3 linked regions of the Stegostoma tigrinum genome follow. The protein of the gene in region 1 interacts with the protein of each later gene in a biochemical or structural test. Links are inferred from orthologs where the notes say so. Each region holds a gene or a part of one and is shown on either strand. Other genes may lie near its edges.

Evidence for each region.
Region 2: of the proteins of lcp2a (region 1) and tyrosine-protein kinase ZAP-70, one has a biochemical effect on the other in vitro, tested with the Homo sapiens proteins (2 studies listed by BioGRID). The link is inferred for Stegostoma tigrinum from reciprocal best matches to the Homo sapiens genes LCP2 and ZAP70.
Region 3: the proteins of lcp2a (region 1) and tyrosine-protein kinase ITK/TSK-like form a complex in vitro, tested with the Homo sapiens proteins (2 studies listed by BioGRID, with this or other methods). The link is inferred for Stegostoma tigrinum from reciprocal best matches to the Homo sapiens genes LCP2 and ITK.

Annotation. Positions count from the first base shown.
Region 1 is NC_081366.1:64,043,340-64,050,279, forward strand, and holds the start of lcp2a (lymphocyte cytosolic protein 2a), read left to right. Parts: upstream 1-3,931; 5' UTR 3,932-4,189; coding exon 4,190-4,267; intron 4,268-6,940. UniProt on the Homo sapiens protein: Adapter protein primarily involved in signaling pathways within T-cells, as well as other immune cells such as platelets, mast cells, and natural killer (NK) cells.
Region 2 is NC_081383.1:24,772,569-24,779,748, reverse strand, and holds the start of tyrosine-protein kinase ZAP-70, read left to right. Parts: upstream 1-4,122; 5' UTR 4,123-4,205; intron 4,206-7,180. UniProt on the Homo sapiens protein: Tyrosine kinase that plays an essential role in regulation of the adaptive immune response. Regulates motility, adhesion and cytokine expression of mature T-cells, as well as thymocyte development.
Region 3 is NC_081366.1:12,414,267-12,421,693, forward strand, and holds the start of tyrosine-protein kinase ITK/TSK-like, read left to right. Parts: upstream 1-4,390; 5' UTR 4,391-4,468; coding exon 4,469-4,606; intron 4,607-7,427. UniProt on the Homo sapiens protein: Tyrosine kinase that plays an essential role in regulation of the adaptive immune response. Regulates the development, function and differentiation of conventional T-cells and nonconventional NKT-cells.

The sequences.
Region 1 (6,940 bases):
CCCTTCATTTGCAACTAATACTGAACTTGCACCAACTACAATAGCTTGCATTAATTGTTGGATAAGCAACTCAAATGGACTAGATTTATATTAAGTTGGATATTATATTTACAGTGGGGAACTCAAGAACTATTTTGACAGAAACCTGCTTAACCAAACTTCTTAAAAATATTTTTTTTTCTTCCCCAGATATGGAATGGTGGCACAATGGTTAGCACTGCTGTCTCACGGCGCCAGGGACCTGGGTTCGATTCCAGCCTCATGTGACTGTGTGTGTGGAGTTCGCAAATTCTCCCCCTGCCTGTGCGTGTTACTTCAGGATGCTGTGGTTTCCTCACACAGTCCAAAAATGTGCAAGTTAGGAAAATTGGCTATGCTAAATTGGCCAATAATGTGCAAGTTAGGTAGGTTAAGTGAAATCAATATAAGTATACAGCGATAGGATATAATGTTCTTTCAAGGGTCAGTGCAGAATCACTGGGCTGAATGGCCTTTATCCACAGCCTAGGGATTCTATGATTTGTGCAAAGCCTTCTTCCAACATCTGAGCAGGGAACATCTTCCTTGTGCCTGCTACAATAGCATCACAGAAACATAGGTAGTGGAGGAATCTGGGACAGGATCTGATGATACTTCACATGCCCTCCTCCCATGCAGGAAGTGGGACTCAGAAGAACATGTCACCTCATCAAACTCCCAATTCTTGAATCGCTTTTTTACCTTGTTTGTCTTTGCAGAGGTATCCAAAAACAATGAGATTCCTCAATTATTTTCTCATCAGCAACTCTACTGGGCATATTCTATTTCAAATTATACTTCAACCTCACTCTCTACAGAAAACAATCTGAACACTTGAACTAATTACTTGACGTTTATACAAAACACCCTCGATATCTGTATGATTCCATTCTATAGCATATTCCTGTCATATATAAAAAATACATTCAATTCCTGTCATCTTTTCTTGTCCCTATGACCACATTTATAATAGAAAAACTTCTTGTAAACTTGCCATATGGTAGTTACATACTTCACCAGAGCAGGTACTGAAGTACCACTTTTGGTGGGACGGTGTAATTAGACTGTGACATGTATGAAAAAATCACTTTCCACAATAAATGCAGAGATCAAAATTTATGTTTTTTTTATTCTTCAATGGCATGTTGGTGTTACTGACTTTTATTGACTATCCCATATTGCCCTTGAGTGATGGGTTGTCTTCCTGAATCGCTGCAATCCATCTGGCATTGGTACTGTTAGGAAGGGAGTTACCTGCAGCAGTGAAGCAACAATGGTATCATTGTAAGTCAGAATGGTGTGTGGCTTGGTGGGGGACATGCATGTGATGGTGTTCCCATGAGCTCTCTGGACAGTTCAGGAAGTGCTACTGAAGGAACTTCTATGAGTCACTGCAGTGCATTTTATACATGGTATGCAGCCACAAATAACATTCACACATCACACAAGTGCCAGACAATGGTCATCTCCAAGTGTTGGAGAGGTAAACACTTAAGTTAGTGGATGTGATGGCAATCAAGCAGGATTTTTTTTCCCTCTTTATTTGCAAACTAAGTCCCCATTGAACCCATGTCCCTGGCACTGTGAGGCAGCAGTGCTAAACATTGTGCCACAGTTCCATTCCTGGGAGGAAAAAGAAAGATTTTTAAAAACTTTTGTGAAGCAAGTTTCTGTCAAAATAGTTCTTGAGTTCTTCGCTGTAAATACAATATTCAAATTAATCTAAAGCCAGTCCATTTGAGTTGTCTACTCAACAATTAATGCAAACTATTGTAGTTGGTACAAGTTCAGTATTAGATGCAAAAGAAGGTGGCGATCTTCTTGAGTGTTGTTGGAGCTGCACTCATTCAGGCAAGTCAGGGAGCATTCCATCGGCATCCCATCTTGTGTGGCGGGCTCTGGGGTCATGAGGCAAGTTACTCGTTGCAGAATTCTCAGACTTTGACCTGCTGTTATAATCACAGCATTTGTATTGCCAGTCCAGATCAATTTCTAAACAATGTCCAGTATGTTGATTGTGGGGGACTCAATGATGCTAATGCCATTGAATGTCAAGGTCAATGATTAGGTTCTCTCTTTTTTTGAGAGGACCTTTGCCTGGCACTTGTATGATGTGAATGTTATTTACACTTGTCAGCCTAAACCTATCCAGATCTTATTGCATTGGACATGAGTTGCTTCAGCTTCTGAGGAATTGCAAATGGTGCTGAACATTGAACAGTCATCAGCAAACATTCTTTCGTGATGTAATATCGAACGAAGAACTGCAGGTGGCAGGGATCTGACACAAACAAAACCAGAAATTGCTGATGAAACTCAGCTAGTCTGTCAGCATCTGAGTCAACACAGTCACCATCTTGAGTCCAGTGACCCTTCTTCAGAACTATAATGAGGTCTTGCGGCTGAGATGACTGGCTTCCACCAACCATAGCCATCTTTCTTCGTGTTGGGTGTGACTCCGAACAGATGAAAGATTTCCCATGATTCTCATTGACTTAAGTTTTGACAGGGTTCCTTGCTAAGGTACCAAACTTAGTAAAATATTGCTCTTAATGTCAAGGACAATCATTCTCACTGTACCTCTTATATTTCAGGTCTTTGGCCCATTTTTGGATCAAAGCTATAATGAGGCCAGGAGTTGACTAAGCTCAGCAGAACTCAAATTGAGTGCCAGTGCCACTTGCTAGCATTGTCAATGACACTTTCTGTCAGTTTGATAATAGTCAAGAGTAGCTTGATAGAGTGGTAATTGGCCAGGTTGTATTTGACCTGCTTTTTGTGTAAAGGACATACTTGGGAAGTTTGCTATATTATCGGTTAGATTCCAGTGTTGTAGTTGCACCAGAACAGTTTGGCTAGGGGTGCAGCAAGTCCTGGAGCACAAATCTTCACAGCATGATTCCTGGAATGTTGTCAGAGCCAATACCTGCAAATGTTATCAGAAAATATATGAATACACATGTTTTTGAGAATTTTATGAGCACTAGAGGCATGGCTTTAAAATAGTTCCTGAATTTTATTTGCAGGCCTGTGCCCTTTTCTCTCCAGAAACTATTTGACTCTTGAAAGCTAATAAACAACAATTCAGATATTCCACATTGAAACCATCAGAAACCTCAAATAAAATCCAGTCAATATAGTCCAATATACTGATCATAAATCTACTGCACCCCTTGATTTTTCAAAATTCACTCTTAGCCATGGACATCACTGTTAAGTTTGGCCTATCCCTGCACTGAGAAGCTGATGGTGAGCTGTCTTTTTGAACTAATCATTTTAACATAATTTCTCGGGTCGGACATTAGACTGCAGTTACTTTTAGATCAGACTCTATAAACACACCCAGTTTCCTTCCCGAATGGAAATAAATAAGCCTCTTGGGTTTTCAATGACAATTGTTAACTTCAAGGCAACATTTACTTAAAGTTACAGCTTTATTACAAGAATTTCAAAATTGAATTCAAATATCAGACTGTGACGATGAGATCTGACCCCACATTCTCCAGCAGATTGTGCCAAGCCTATAAGTCAGCAACATAATCACCCAACTACTGTAGCTGAGGTTAAATTCTAGGTTGAAAATAATTCCTCACTGTTCATTCTTCTTTAATGTGTGGGAGTGTGAGATTCAATCTTAACCATATACCTTTTAAAAAGCAAACAATGACTGGGATTTCATCCCAGAGAGTTGGTCTTTCTGCACTGCTGAGCAAAACATGTGCCTCTTGCATTTAGTTAAGTTCACTGTGTTATGATCAGAGCTGGAGGTACCTTACTGAAGTCTGGTATAATCATGCGAGAGGACAGTTTCTGCTGAATTTCTGTAGAATAAAGAGGGGAAGTGACAAAGGAAGTTAGTCAAATCCATTTTAGTGTTGATTTTCTCAAAATAACATTCAGCAGGAGGCAATGATACAGTTTCACTTCTAAGTCCATCATTAGCATTTACTTTTCAGCCTACATTTAATTATTTTAAGAAGTAAACCAAATGTTTACCGACTGAAGTATCTTATTCATTATTATCATTGATCAGCACCCTACGCACTTCCTTTCTAGGTACTGTGAAGGTTGTGGTGCGTGACAGGAAGAGAAAAGACCCGTTATTCTTCTCAGCTATATGTTGTAACATGATATTAAGCGAAAAATAATTGGAGACTTGGGAGAAAAAACAATGGCTTTCAGAAACCTTCCAAACCGTAACGATGTACTTCAGTGGTCCCCAAATCATTTGGCTGACTATTTCAGAATGGTAGGTACAGCCAAAGGCTCTTTTGTTCTTCCTTGTATTCTACTGAACTCCATGAATAATGCTTTTTTAGCTGTGTAGAATGATTATCTGGCTGATGTGCAAGGTAAAACTTTAAGCAGTTCAATGGTTGGCAATGATTATATCAAAGTTTGGCTTTAAAATGTTAGAATGTGGTAGTATGCCTTTTTTCATCATCAATGCCGGGAAGTTGTACTTTCTTTAAAGTTCAAAAAGTTCTTTGTTTACACTTCCATATATTAATGTGATCATCAACTTTGTTGATGCCTTTTTTATCTTTAGATTCAAACTATTCCCATGCTCTCTTAGCCAATCTCCCATCTTCGGTCCACCCTATATTTGAGCTTATCCAAAACTCTGCTGCATGCCCTAACTCACATTAAGTTCCGGACACTTTTGCTCACTGACTTACAATTACCCCCAGTGCAGCAACATTTTGATTTTAAAATTCTCATTCTTGTTTTCCAATTCTTCAATGCCCTGGCTGTTCCTCGATCTAGACATTCCTCCAGCAGAAGAAGCCATTCCAATCTCACTGATCCTCCAATTTTGCCCTTTTCAGCATCTCCAATTTTTGTCTCTCCATGATTGGTTTTTAATGTCTGTGCCATAAATTCTGGAATTCCATCCCCAAACTTTGCCATGTCTCTGCCTCGTGTCTTCTTCTTTTCAGTCACTCCTTGAAACCTACCTCTTTAACCAAACTTTGGTCCACCTGATCTCATACCATTGAAGTTGTCAACATCAAAGTTTTTTTGATAATGTTTCTTTGAAGCTTCTTGGGATGTTTCACTACATTGAAGAAGTTATATAAATGCTAACTCTTGTTGTTAGCCATCCTGCGCAGTTGATTGAAAAGATAAGCCGCGGTGTTTGCTAAAGGTCTTTTTGGATTTTGCAATAAAAATGCTTAAATCAGCAGCTAGTTTCCAATAATTATGGATTTAAAAGAAACTATTGCAAAAGAAAAATTGTTTCATGAAGCAAGTCCTGAAATTGCCTTAGGAGTACTTGTTCTTTTGCCAGCCAGAGACAAATGTTACAATATGAAGTTATAGTCCTTGTATTTGAACATGGAAAATGTGGCTCAGTTAAATTGCTACATTTGTTTTTAAAATAACCTCAAGTCTGTTTTGGATTTAACGAGCAAGGTGTCTCTGCCTGTTGCATGTGAATATTCATTTTATATATCGGTACAGAAATGATACATTCTGACGGTCAGAATCTTTTTCCCAGAGTTAAAATGAGTAATGCTGGGGTGCATGCCTTTAGGGTGAAAGGGGGAAAGTTCAAAGGAGGTGTGAGAGGCAAGGTTTTTACACAGAGAGTGGTAGGAATCTGGAACGTGCTGCCAGAGGTGGTGGTGGAGGCAGATACGATAGGATTGTTCAAGGGACTTTTAGACAAGCACATGACTCTGCAAGGAATGGAGGGATAAGGAACAAGGGCAGGCAGAAGGGATTTGTTTAATTTGGCATCATGTTTGGCACAACATCATGGGTCGAATGACCCGTTCTTGTGTTGTTCAGTTCTGTGTTCTATGAATTATACAGAAATAGCATACAGTAAAGCAGGCCATGGATGCCAGCCTCCCTGCCTTCCTGTTTAATCATCATATGATCAATGGTTGTGATTTCATTTGCCTGTCTTGTCCCCATATTTCTTTATTCTCTTTCATCCAACCACATCTCTGGGCTAGTTTTAAATATAATACAACACAGCACAGAACAGGCCCTTTTGCCTACCAAATGACTTCACATGGAAAGCTTTTAACAATTGGTAACTGATGCATTAAGAGTATTCACTGACTTATGATCATGTCAATGGTAGGGTCAGTTCATGTTGAGGATGGTTGAAATAGGATTTTAAAGTGCTGATCCCTGACCTCTTCTGAAGGTTGGTCATACATCATAGACAAGAGAGATAATTATAAATCTCTTCCTATTAAAGAACTGTTTAACAGACACTGTTGTTGCGTAATGGATATATATTGTGATGTTACAGTGACATCAGCAATCAGATGCAAGAGATTGTGAAGCAAAGATGGAATAGCCTGTTATTGTGAGAGATGTACTTGCAGGAAACATATTATGTACATAAGCGTGAATAAAAGAGTTTGCAGAAATCTACCAGTCTCAGCCAGCAATCACTCATAGGTCAAGGGAAACTATTACAGGCCACAAGCTAACAGAAGGAAAAAGCATAGCCATATTTTCAACGTGTAAAATTGAGCCCCGAGGCAAAGGCCTGCTGGCAACCTAACTAAACATTGCTGAGATTTGGCTATAGTGTTGAACCAAAACCTTATGTTGTTCAGGCTCCCTAGTCTTGGAAGGTACTAGAGGTGTTGTTTCCTCTTTTACCAATGAATTCACCTCGTCCCTCTATCCTGGAATTTCCCTGTTCTTAGACTATGATTCTCTTTTAAATTGATACAATGATCTGAGTCAGAAATGGATAGGCCAAACGTCTGTTCATGTAAACAATGAACTTTGTTCAGTACACATATTCTCCAGAAAATTATCGCATGCAGTCTGTTCAGGTTGAGCTGCCTGCCTCATGTTTGTTCCACTACATCCATTAATCTATGTCCTAGGTTACTCCTTCAGTTTCTTCAGTTATCTCAATTTCAACTCCTTTCTCAGCTCTCCCTAT
Region 2 (7,180 bases), on another chromosome or scaffold:
TCTCCCCAACACGTTTAGCACTAAACAAATAGCGGACAATAAATGAATTAATGAGAAAAGCTGAAGAAATGTAACCATTATGGCAACTTCAAGCATATAATTACATACAGGCTAATATTTGAAATAAATGAAAATCCAGTCAGAATTTTACTGTTGTCAAGATATTTATATGAAAACATTGCTCTTTTTACAATATTGTTGAAGTTTTCTTTTGTTAATGTTATCAATGCCAACAGTTCATTATTTTTAAATAGCTGTCACGAGAATGTGAGAATTCTGTTCAAATAAATACTATGCGTAAATAATCAACACCATACAATAAAAACTAAGCAAGATTAAATTCCGATGATGTTAATCACTATTTATAATGCTAATCCTGTGCGTATCTTGTCATGTTGTTGCGTATATTTTAACCACATGTTATAACACCATATTAACGCTGTAAGACTGTTAAATTGTGAAACTTTCTAGCCAGACTGCATTAATAAGTAATTATTCATTCAAACTTAAAGAAAATTGGTGAAATGAAATTTCACTTGCGGCTTTGCAGCTCTTGTACGGTAGACAACATTACTTCTCGATTTCCGCTTTGGATGCTTGTAACTCACATCATTTTCAAGATGACATCCACTGATCGCCGTCTTTTTATACATATTTGGACATTTTATTTATGCCACAGTTGCTCTGAAGTTCCGTTTGAATTAAAAAACCACACGTAGCGCATACATTACGATAAAAATGGTGGGATGTGATTTCTGGGTTAGGCAGCCACTTAATGTCAGAAAATCTTACTGTGTAAAGTGTAAACTCTATATTGCCATTTCAGTGATACTGTTTTGCAAAATCAGATCCAAAATCAGTTTCTTTTAACCTATGCAGCCCACCCCACATATACAGCTGTAAGTGCAGCTTTATCAAGTGACATCAAACTTTTTGCACTGTAGTTTCAACATTTTCAACAGCTGGAATAATGAGCTTGGAATCAAGTTAAGAATGTGAAATGTAAAAGTTGTTTCTAGGAGAGTGTGTGGCGGGTGGGTGAAAAGAACATGCTAACTACAAGATTTTCCAGCTATTAAAGCATTTTACTTTACACTATCAACACCCTTTCCCCAACTACACTCCACCACACCCCATTGTTGCATGAATGCAGCACCCTACACACCTCACGTCAGCTCTGTTGAAGAGCGATCTAGACTTGAAACATCAGCTTGCTCTCTCTCTGTGAATGCTGCCTGACCCACTGTGATTCCCAGCACAGCACAGGTTGCAGTATTTGCAGTAATTTGCCCCTAAAGCATTTTATTTGGCAACAGAACATCGGAGTGCACGACGTAGACCATTTTTCTTCTAATACAAATTCATCGGAAAAATCATCTTAACAAACATGATTTTTTTCTAATTATTTTTGTGTTTCATTATTTAAAGTAATGAAATTGAAATCAAAATCAGTGTTGGACTATTCAAAGGAACGTCTTTCAGTGGAAAAATGTGGATTCTGTCATGTCATTAATTCATTTGAGACTGGAATATTTGAAATCCTTTGCAAATTCTAACTTTTTTGATCTTTTTAACTTTGAATTAAAAATGTGGCAGTGCCATTGCCTGTTGTGAGATCTTTAAAAGGATAGCAAATTGTTGGCTGGGTTCTGAAAGAAGTTAAACATTTCCCCGTTACTAATGAGTTATGTTGTTTTAAACGTACCTTCATTTTCCTGTAATGCGCAGTTCGGAATGTTAATCAAATATTTTATCTGTACCAAAAAAAACACCTACTCTATGAAAAACTAAATTTTTCCATTAACTCAGAAACAAAACCATAACAGGAACTATCAGTCATAAATTAATGGTTTCTTATTCATCTTTAAGAAATATATTTTTTTAACAGATTAATATAAACTGAAAATGAGTGCACTCTACTTCATTGAAGGGAATGAAGATTATATTGAGCTGCTACAAAATCCACTCACAATGTAGATTTTCAACTAGGCTTGAACGAAGAAAGTTTTCGGATCTACAGCATTTCTATCACACCTAATTGAGCACATTCAATACTTCTACATCAGCAAAAGTTGTCAAATCCTATGTATGGAGATGCCGGTGTTGGGCTGGAGTGGACAAGGTCAGAAGTCACATGACACCCAGGTTAGAGACAAACAGGTTTATTTGAAATCACAAGCTTTCAGAGTGCTGTCCCTTGGTGAGGTGAAGTTCTGTTGGACAATAACCTGGTGTTGTGTGGCTTCTGAAGTTCAATGTAAATGTTGAAAGACAGAATGAAAATGTTCTTAAATTTTGAAGAATGACCTCAACTGAAAATGTTTAACAATGTTTACTATTCAGCGTGTATTTCAGCAACTGACAGTTTTATATGTCAAAGATTGAATTGGTTATCTTGAATAGAAGCAGGTTTTTTTCCTACAGTAACTTATAAAACAATAGGTTGTCAAATAATAATTGAAGTGAAATTGATTGTGTTTAAACATCTATTCATTTACCATTCTAAAATATTATATAAAATTGCAAAGACACTACATAGCATGGAAAATTATTCATCATTTTCATTGAGAAATATTTAGCCTGAATTTGTCAATAGGTCAATAAAAAATCCTATGCAGCTGTTCATGCTTCAGTGATGAATTTATTTATGCTTGGGATTTATGAATCCTCAGGATACATTTTACTATTTACAGAAAAAGTTAATTGATCGAGATAATCAATGGAAGTTAATGAAAGACTGTTTTGTCTATCCAGCCTGGCAATCACATTGTGATGGCTTATGCACTACACTCTGCAAACATGACTCCCAGAGCCATGCCTTGGCATGGTGGCTCAGTGAAAAGCCCTGCTGCCTCACAGAGCAAGGGACCCGGGTTCTATTCCAGCCTCTGGCAACTGTCTGAGTGGAGTTTGCACATTCTACCCGTATCTGCATGGATTTCCTCTTGGTGCTCTGGTTTCCTTCCACAGCCTAAAGATGTGCAGGTTAGGTGGATTGGACGTACTAAATTGCCCAGAGATGTGCAGGAAATTTAGATTACCTATGGGAAATGCAGAATTACAGGGATAGGATAAGGGTTGGGTCAACTTGGACTTGATGGGCTGTCTGGTCTGCTTCTGTGCTGCAGGGATTCTATGATTTTATGTAACGTCCCGGGAGATTTGAAAATCCTTATAAATACCCAAAAGATTTGGAACAAAGGGCAGGCTATTATATGTCACATGACTTCAGATGATCAAAACTAGTCCATGAGACCATAATGTCGCTAATGACATGATCTGATACTTGCTTTTTGTGCAGAATTATCACACCTCAGCCAGTTCACAACTGAAGGTATTCAGTGAATTATACTTGATCTGCACACGATTCAATTGAAGTTAGGTGATGTTTGGTCTTTGGCTATGGCCGTTATTGATGCCTGAAGTGAGGCTTGGCAGGTCGTCATCTGCGGCTATGCCCAATAGGTCTTTGGTTGCAGTGGGTGTGATGCCTGGAGGAAGACCTCCTGGCCGCAGTTGTGCCTGAAACATGGACTCGTGGCACTGTCATTGTTACTGTACCCAGAACAGGGACTCCTTGGTGCCCAGGGCACCTTGCAGATGCCCTGGAGCTGTGTTTGAAGGCCCCGTTAGTCAGAAGATGAACTTGATTTACACAATTTTTTTTTGTTCTTTTTGTAATTCAAAATGGTGCCGGATTGTGTTGACAAAACACTTTTCACTGTATCTTTCTAGATCTGTGTGACAATAAATAACTCATGGTGTACCTTGGCAAAGCTGTGTGTTCAGACTCCATTTGCGCAAAATGCAGAAAATGAATATATATATGCGCGAGTTTATTTGCTGAATTTTGGATCGTTCTTTTCGAAACATTTCATGTATTTTTAAAGTGATGTTTAAACAATTGCAATTTTTTAAAAAATTGACTGCTGATTGCAGCCTATGAAATTAGATACCAAAACTTCAAACCTGTTATGCACATGTAATGAGGATGTGTTCCAGGGTTCAGCTCATGTGTCACACATGTCAATCGTCTCATAAACAGTGTTGCTGGTGAGTGCCTCACATTTCTGACTGTCTGCAAATTGCAGATGTGGCGTTCTAACTGCATATAATGAATGATATATATATAAAAGTGCCAGTTGGCTAATATGTGTAACTTGCTAGAAACTGATATGGTGAGATTCTAGGCCAAATCAAGAAGGGTAAGTACAAAATGCTTTGAAAGATGCACTTCTTGGGGCTGTTTAATTAGTTCACTCTGGATAACTAAATACTTCATGTTGGTGTTTAATGTCAACCACAGATCAAAGAATCTCCGAAGATTGAAATATTCTGGCTTCTGCAAAAATTATGTTTTCCTCACTCAATTAATTTTTGAAAAAATAGAACATTACGTGTGCAACAAGAATCATAAGAAATGCTCAAGTGTTTGTGGCCAAATTTAAGATCATAGCTGAATAGTTTATCTTTGTAGTTGCACTAAATTTGCAGTATAATTCCAGATTTAGGTCCTGGCCTGATTATGGAGAGGATCAATGAGAGATCCACTTGACATGTCAGGGTCACATCATCAGGTTTGGATGCATCTGAAGTGGAATTACTGCACAATATCAAATTTGGTTGCAAAGTGCTAAAGGGATCCAGTGTAATTCGCGAACTCATATAGGGCCGATTGAAGCAAAAGCAAAATATATATTGTGATCACTGGAATTTTAAGCAAAGAAGTAAACATTCTAGAAATATTTAGCAGATAAGGAAACACCTGTGAAGTGAAAAACAATGTTAATGTTTCAGGTTGATGGCCCTTTTTCAGAGCTCTAAACTATGCGTGGAGAAGAAATATGATGTCCATGCGTATAAACGCTCTCGTAATTCTGATACAAAAGCAAAAATTGCACAGCCTGGAAATCTGAAAAAATAAAAAATTCTGCAAATTCTCAGCAGGACATGACATAACTCTGGGGAGAAATTTAACACTTCAGGCTAATGATTTTTATCCAAAGAAATCAGGAATTTGATATTGCAGACAAACAGAAGAGTCAAGATATTTTGGACGCAGAATACTGACAACATTTTTTAAGAGATTGCCAGTGGTGGATAATTGTTTATCTAATTTCAAATTCAGCTCATAGAATAGTCACAGGAAAATTTTGGTCTGTTGCTGGACTGAGCTGTAAGTTTGGATTTCTATCAAATTGTCTATTTTCAAAAGTTGTGAATCATAAAATTACCTTCAGTCCAAATACCAATTTCTCATAGAACATAGAACGTAGAACATAGAACATAGAACAGTACAGCACAGAACAGGCCCTTCAGCCCACGATGTTGTGCTGACCATTGATCCTCATGTATGCACCTCAAATTTCTGTGACCATATGCATGTCCAGCAGTCTCTTAAATGTCCCCAATGACCTTGCTTCCACAACTGCTGCTGGCAATGCATTCCATGTTCTCACAACTCTCTGTGTAAAGAACCCACCTCTGACATCCCCTCTATACTTTCCTCCAACCAGCTTAAAACTATGACCCCTCGTGTTAGCCATTTCTGCCCTGGGAAATAGTCTCTGGCTATCAACTCTGTCTATGCCTCTCATTATCTTGTATACCTCAATTAGGTCCCCTCTCCTCCTCCTTTTCTCCAAAGAAAAAAGTCCGAGCTCAGTCAACCTCTCTTCATAAGATAAGCCCTCCAGTCCAGGCAGCACCCTGGTAAGCCTCCTCTGAATTTCCGTAAGAATTTTACGTTTCATTAAGAACACCAATCATTCCTCAATATTTCAATGTAGTTAAGAAGGCCCAATGTAGTTAAGAAGGTTTATAAGACAGCCCCTCTATCCCTGGTATCAGCCTTGCAAACTTACGTGGCCTCAAATGGCATTTTATCTTCCTTGGGTAATGGGCCCCATATGAGGGGGGGTCAGAATTGATGGTTACATTGGTAGGTTTAGATATTTTATATTTTCTGAGAAAATGGATAAGAGCACAAGAAACAATGAAAAAGTCAAGTTTATTGGTAATCAGTCAATAACAACTTAACATAACAACTGAAGAATGATTTTACATTAGAATGAGTATCTATCGGTTTAACAAAATTGACTAGTACATGGGCATTGGGGAATAGTTGTCTTCTTGTGAACACTCTAGTGTTCAGTTTAACATTTAGACAAAGACCACTAACTTTGAGCTCTAGGATGCACTTAGTGGAGAATTTTGAAGTAAATCAGATTTTGTAAATTAGAAACAGAAACAGAAATTGCTTATAAAGCTCAGCAGGTCTGGCAGCATCTGTGGAGACAAATCAGAGTTGACTCTTCAGATTGAGTGACCCTTCCCAAACATTAAAACTGGCTGCAATAATACCACAAATATGTAAAGTACTTGGAATCAGAGTGCTTACATTATGAACTTACATCTGCATTTATTTTTGTACTTTTGAGTAAGTGGATGATGATCCAACATATTTTCACTAATATTAAGAAGCAACTAGATGAGGAGAAGAAAACTGAGTCAATTTCAACAGACTGCTGTGTTAGTGAGCTCAATACAAGACCCAGGCACCAATCAAAGTTGCTTGCTGTACTGTTCAGTTATTTTGTCAGTTAATGACTATAGTATAATAGTGTCCTAAAGCATGTGGATAGCAAACATATGACTATGGAAGCATGGGGAGAAATGCTGCAAGGTCAAGGGGACAATAGTGGAGACTTATGGAGCTCAAAGCTAAAATAAAAGCCGCACTGATATATTCAAATATACCAGTAAGAAACTAACCAATAGATAACTCAAAGGGATGCAAAACAGCAAGATTGAAAGCATTTTCAGAGAAAAAATAACAAATGTTTGCAGATTACAGTGAAGAATCCAGATCTTTTGGGGGCTATATATGTAGGTAAAACAATATTTAAGAGGTGATTGAAACAGAAATGATACAGCGGAGAGAAACGAGAAGCAGAGTTATTAATTATTCTTCATTTTACAGCTCTACTTTAATTTACATTCAGCAATATTTTGATACCTCAAAGATACACTATATAAATTAAGGCCATGCTTTTAAATTAAATTTCTTCAAAGCTTTTGCTGCAAAGCCACGTTGGTAATGCTACCTAAATTTGTAACTTATAGCACAGCTGAAATATTGTTGAAATAAATGCAGCAAAGAAATTAAACGGAGGGTGGT
Region 3 (7,427 bases), about 52 Mb from region 1:
CTGTTGCTGAGCCGCTGTTGGTGGAGGACGTTGAAATACCCCACCCAGAGTACATTTTGTGCCCTTGCCATCCTCGGTGCTTGCTCTAAATGTTGTTCAACATGAAGGAGGACTGATTCATCAGTCAGGGGATATATTCAGCCTGTTAACAAAGTGTAAAATTGGATGAACACAGCAGGCCAAGCAGCATCTTAGGAGCACAACAGCTGACGTTTCGGGTCTAGACCCTTCTGCTTGGCCTGCTGTGTTCATCCAGCCCCACACTTTGTTATCTTGGATTCTCCAGCATCTGCAGTTCCCATTATCTCTAAGCAGCCTGTTAAGTCTGTTTCAGTCTCCACAAATCCTGCCAGGTACACTGAACTTCTCAGCACTTGGTGTTTTTATTTATGACATTACGAAAGTCATTTCAAAAAGTGTTTCAGAGATAGTAGGAACTGCAGATCCTGGAGAGTCCGAGATAACAAGGTGTAGAGCTGGATGAACACAGCAGGCCAATCAGCATCAGAGGAGCAGGAAAGCTGACATTTCAGGAAGGTTCTAGGCCTGAAACGTCAGCTTTCCTGCTCCTCTGATGCTGCTTGGCCTGCTGTGTTCATTCAGCTCTACACCTTGTTATCTCATTTCAAACAGTACTCTTTCTTTCAAAAGGTGGCACAGTAATCAAGTAAAGAAAACATGTACATGACAAAACTAACCCTGAAGAGCTATCTCAATCCGAGATTTTTTTATTGGCTTGAGTGATGTGGGCATCGCTGTCTGGGCCAGCATTTATTGTACATCCCTAGTTGCCCTTGAGAAGGTGGTGTTGAGTTGCCTTCCTGAACACCTGCAGTCCATCTGCAGTAGATAGACCTACAGTGCTATTAGGGAGGGAACTCCAGAATTTTGACCCAGTTACAGTGAAGGAATGTTGATATATTTCAAAGTCAGGATGGTGAATGGCTTGGAGGGGAACTTACAAAGGGCTAGAGTTGAGTTCTCATCAGAGAATTCCTGTAAAGGCTGAGACAAGACAAACACACTGGGATTGTAAACTTTTTGTAAAGTATTTGACTATATGTCTTACTTTTTTTTCTGATTGGATTTTAAAGCTTACTTAACATTTATTTCTACATAATATTTACTTTTTCTGACAATCTACTTCTCGATGGATTTGTAAATTCATTTGTACGCAAGTAGAAATTGTTACATTACCTTTCTTTACAGGAGAATGTTTATGAACAACATTATCACACTGTGTATTCATGTTCACATTACTTCTTTCTAAAGGGATTGGTCGACCATAGTAATTATTCTACATTATGTAATATTGGAATTATTACAGTAATGTCATCCAGGATTATTTCTTAGAATAAAATGGTATTGAGTAAGCATTAAAAAGTTGTAAACTCACAGTTCGTGCTTCAAAGGTCTGACCCAGGAACAAACAAATGAAAATATTCTGGAATTCTTAAGTCACAAATCTATGTTCTGATATTTATTCATTGAGAAAATTATTTCCGTTAAATTGTACCTGAGGGAGAATTTTAGGACCAAGTCAAAAATGCTAAATTCCTTCTCAAGTATTCATGGGATGTCGATGCTGCTGGGAAGACCAGTATTTATTGCCTATCCCTGGTTGCCCTTGTAAAGGTAGTGGTGGCTATTTAATATGTCTCCTAGTTCAGGTTTTATCTTTATAACGTGGAGCTGTCTGTGTAGTGGCAATGTCACTGGATTAGGCAAGTGTCCTGGGGACACCAATTCAAAAACCCCATCATGACAGGTTGTGAACTTTTTAAAAAAAAAGCTGGTCTAATGTTAACCACGTAGCTACTGTTGATTGTCATAAAAACTCACCTGATTCACTTATAGAGCCATGGAATCAAACAGCATTGAAACAGACCCTTCAGCCCAACTCGTCCACGCCAACCAGATTACCAAATTAAGCTAGTCCCAGTTGCCTGCATTTAGCCTATCCAGATGCCTTTCAAATGTTGGAATTATCCCAGCTGCCACTACTTCCTCTGGCAGCTCATTCCAGACACGGACCACCCTCTGTGTGAAAATGTTCCACCCTTTAAAAGGTCACTTTTGAATTATTACTCTCTGACCTCAACCTATGCCTTCTAGTTTTGGACTCTCTAACCCTGGGGAAAAGACCTTGGTGTACATTCACATTTCAAGCTGGCATCCCACTAATTCAGCCAAGTGACCACTGTCATCATTGTATTCAGTGGCAATAGTGGCACGGTGGCCCAATGGTTAGCAGTGCTGTCTCACAGCACCAGGGACCCAGGTTTGATTCCACCCTCAGGCGACTGTCTGTGTGGAATTTGGACAATAATCCCGTATCTGCGTGGGTTTCCTCCGGGTGTGCCAGTTTCCTCCCACAGTCCAAAGATGTGCAGGTTAGGGGGATTGGCCATGCTAAATTGAACACAGTGTTCAGGGATGTGTAGATTAGGTAGGTTATAGGGGGATGGGTCTGATTAGGATGCCCGACGGTCGGTGGAACTTGTTGGGCCGAATGGCCTGTTCCAACACTGTAGGGATTCTATGAAAAACCTCATAGATTTTGGTGTGACCCACCATCCTACGAGGCTTATTCAAGAGCTGCACTCCCTCAATACTGACCCTCTGACAGTGCAGCATTCCCACAGCACTGACCCTCTGACAGTGCAGCCCTCCCTCAGTACTGACCCTCTGACAGTGCGACACTCCCTCAGTACTGACCCTCTGAAAGTGTGGCACTCCCTCAGTACTGACCCTCTGACAGTGTGGCACTCCCTCAGTACTGACCCTCTGACAGTGCAGCACTCCCTCAGTACTGCCCCTCTGACAGTGCGGCACTCCCTCAGTACTGACCCTCTGACAGTGCAGCATTCCGTCAGTACTGTCCCTCTGACAGTGCGGCACTCCCTCAGTACTGACCCCCAAAAGTGCAGCACTGTTTCAGTACTGACCCTCTGACAGTGCGGCACTCCCTCAGTACTGACCCTCTGACAGTGCAGCACTCCCACAGCACTGACCCTCTGACAGTGCAGCACTCCCTCAGTACTGATCCTCTGACAGTGCAGCACTCCCTCAGTACTGACCCTCTGACAGTGCAGCACTCCCTCAGTACTGACCCTCTGACAGTGCGACACTCCCTCAGTACTGCCCCTCTGACAGTGCAGCACTCCCTCAGTACTGACCCTCTGACAGTGCAGCACTCCCTCAGTACTGATCCTCTGACAGTGCAGCACTCCCTCAGTACTGACCCTCTGACAGTGCGGCACTCCCTCAGTACTGACCCTCTGACAGTGCGACACTCCCTCAGTACTGATCCTCTGACAGTGCGACACTCCCTCAGTACTGACCCTCTGACAGTGCGACACTCCCTCAGTACTGACCCTCTGACAGTGCAGCACTCCCTCAGTACTGACCCTCTGACAGTGCAGCACTCCCTCAGTACTGACCCTCTGACAGTGCGACACTCCCTCAGTACTGATCCTCTGACAGTGCAGCACTCCCTCAGTACTGACCCTCTGACAGTGCAGGATGACAGGATTGCTTCAGGAGTTGGTCAGATTTGGCATATGTACAAATTCCAGATTAAAAGGGGAGTTAGACTGACCTCCATCCAGTCACCGATGATGTTTAATGCTGTGGAACAGAAGAGACTGAGGAAAGGGCAGGAAGAGTGATGAGAGATATTGCCATACCAGTGGATGGTTCAGCTATCACCATCACCCCCTCAGTTTGCCTCACCATCATTCCATCAGTACTGACCCTCTGACAGTGCAGCACTCCCTCAGTACTGACCCTCTGACAGTGCAGCACTCCCTCAGTACTGACCCTCTGACAGTGCGGCACTCCCTCAGTACTGACCCTCTGACAGTGCAGCACTCCCTCAGTACTGACCCTCTGGCAGTGCGGCACTCCCTCAGTACTGACAATGCAGCACTCCATCCATATTGACTGTCTGACAGTGTGTGGCACTCATGTCGGTGTAAAAGAATCTCTGCCTTTGTTTGCTGAGGATGAGAAAGTTTCTCCCTTTGATCACTCATTGACCCCCCCCCCCACCTCTCCACCCGGTTGAAATATTCAGCCCTTGGTCACATTGTCAGAATCCCTGATCACTTCTGAAGTTCTAAAGAATGTGTTGCCGGCATGATTTTTCCTCTGATCGGTTCAAAGCATTTCTCTCTATGTTAACGGGTGGCAGCAATTGGCCTGCATATAAGTTGGCGCGATATGGTTTGGGTTTTTCTCGTTTCTGCTCACAGGATTTGCAAAGGCAGATAGAAAGGAAGTGGTTTCACATTCTACCTTCATCCGAGTCTGAAGCCTGCGTGGTGCTTTTTCCTGACAGTTTCTCAGTTATCAGCATCTGTGCACCTACGCTGTGCCTAATGCTGTGACCTGCACACAACCTTCCGATCAGCTTCACCTCCCCACCACCACCTCCTCTCGATGGGGAGTGTTACCCGCCGAAAGGATGAATCCCCCTTCCATCCTTGAGGAATTTCTCATCAAGCGCTCACAGCAAAAACGAAGGACTTCACCCTCCAACTACAAAGATCGATATTTCATTCTGACCAAATCCAGGCTGGCTTACTACGAGTGCCGTACAGGGGTATGTGTCTCTACTTGTTCGCTTAATCCATCTCGCCAACAGCCTCACATCAATCTCACCCCTTCCATTGGCTGTGGCCAGATGTCAGCGTCTGCCCAGCACAGTTCTCCTTCCAAAAGGCTGCCTTCCTTCACAGTGTCCTGCCTATTGCTAAGGATTTTTCTGGCCTTGCTTTCTCCTGTGTAGCTTCTGTCACCTCTCTGTGCCAGTGGCCCTGTTGAGCGTCTGAGGCTCAGTGCCATCTTTGTCAGAACACAATTAGTTTCTCTCCATTTCACAGTGGTGATCAGCGAGTGAGTGTGAATGAGCGTGAGACTGAGTGAACTTTCTGGTTTGAAGTTCAGTCTTGTTCTTGGTTGCCAGAGTGTCAATGCTTGTACAGCGAGTCGGTGTGTTAAGCTTTAGTGCGTGTTCACAGTGGGCTGTGGTTCATTATTTTTAACTGTTACTCTACTCTCAACCGTCCTGTTTGTCTGCCCAGCCAGCTCCAGGAATGTGTTCACCTCATAATGACATGTTGTTCTGGGTTAGGTTTTATATCATTTCATTTTTTCCTTCATGGGATGACTGTATTGCTGGCTAGGCCAACGTTTATTGCCCATCTCGAATTGTCCAGAGGTCAGAGATAATGGGAACTGCAGATGCTAGAGAATCCGGGATAACAAAGTGTGGAGCTGGATGAGCACAGCAGGACAAGTGCATTAAGAGTCGATCCCTTTGCTGTGGGTGTGGAGTTATATGTAGTCCAGGCCAGGTAACGGTGGCAGTTTCCTTCCCTAAAGGTCATTGGTCAACCAGATGGATTTTTTCTGACAATCAGCAATGGATTGATGGTCATCATTAGTCACTTCATTCCACTTTCTTTTAAATTAAATTCAAATTTCGCCATCTGCGATGGTGGGATTCAAACTCAGGTCCCCAGAGTATTCCCTGGTCTCTGGATTAACAGTGTAGTGATGATATGCCAAGGCCACGTCCTTCCTGATATAGTCCAACACCAAAAACTTCAGCTCACCCAAAATTGTGAATCATAACCAGCACCAAGTCCAGTCCTTCTGACACCCACAGGGGCTCCTGATTCAATGAAACTTCAGTTTTAAAGGCCTCATCCGCATTTTCAAATTCCTCTGTGTCACCTTGCCCCCTCCCTTTTGTTGTAATCTCCTCAAACGGCTCACACATGTAAGAGCTCTTCCAACTCGGGCCTTTAATACATTCTCAATTTACACCAAGCCAACATCAATGGTATTGTGAAAACTCAAAGCCTTAAGCTCTGAAGTTCACTCCCTCACACCATCTCCCTCTCTACCCTTTCAGATGTTGCTTAAAACCTCCATATATGACCAATATTTCTACATCACACCTTACGAGATGTGGGTATCCACTGGCAAGGCCAACGTTTATTGTATATCCTTGAGTGCCCTTGAAAAAGTGGTGGTGAGCTGCCTTGTTGAACTGCCACAGTTAACCTCATGTTGGGGCACTCACAATGCTCTTAATGGAGGCAGTTCCAGGATTTTAACCCAGCAACAGTGAAGGAACATTGATTACGTTGCAGATCGGGATGGTGAGTGACTTGGAGGTGAATTTATAGGAGCTGGTGTTCCCCTGTACCTGCCGCCCTTGTCTGTCTAGTTGGCAGAAGTTGCAGATTTTTTCCCTGTGTTGGAGAAAGAGCTTTTGCAAATTGCTACAGTACATCTAGTGCATGTTATAAATAGTACACTTTGCTGTGACTACATGTTGGTGGTATAGGGTGTGGATAGTGAAGATGCAGGGTGTGATGCCAATCAAGCAGGTTGCTTTGTCCTGGATGGTGTCAAGATTCTTGAATGTTATTAGAGCAGCACCCATTCCGGCAAATGGAGAGCATTCCATACACTCCTGACCTGTCCCTCGTCGATAGTGGACAGGCTTTGGGAAGTTGAGAGGTGAGCTACTCATTACAAAATTCCCAACTTCTGTCTCATCCCCATAGTCATAGTATTTACATGGCTGGTCTAGTTCAGTTTCTTGTCAATGGTGTCCCTCAGAATATTGACAGTGGGTGACTCAGTGATTGAAATATTATTGAACATTAAGAGGCAATGGTTGGATTATTGCTTGTTGGACATGGCTGTCGTCTGACATTTATGTGGTGCAAACATTACATGCCACTTGTCACCGCAAGCCTGGATATTGTCCAGATCTTGTTGCCTTTGGACATGAACTGTTTCAGTATCCTAGGAGATGCAAGTGACACTGAACATTACACAATCATCAGCAGACAGCCCCGCTTCCACTTTAAGATGGAGGGATGAAAGACGGTTGTGCTTAGGGCACTCGAGGTTCTTGAATTCACTGTCCAACAAAGTAGACTTGTGTTTTCAGAGACTGTGAATATTGCATCAGGTTGTATCCATTGTGGGTGTGCAAGGATGTGACCAGGGCCAAAATTCTGGAGCAAGATTTGAGAGGTTCTATGCACATAGGCGTTGTGTAGTGTGTGTGTTTGTCAGCCTGTGTGTGTTTGAATGACTTTGAGTGTTGCCTGCATGCGTGATTTTGTGTATGTTTTGTCTGTGTGCATGTTTGTGAGAAGCATGTTATTTAATGTCTATGCATTAATGTCAGCCTGTGAGTGAACGTGGTTGTGTGCACGTGGATGTATATGTGAGTGTGTGTGTGTGACACTGTGAATGTGTGTATGTGAGAGAGAGAGACTGTGAATGTGTGTGCATACACGTGTGTGTGTGTGTGTGTGTGTGTGTGTGTGTGTGTGTGTGTGTGTGTGTGTGTGTGTGTGTGTGTGTGTGTGTGTGTGTGTGTGTGTGTGTGTACT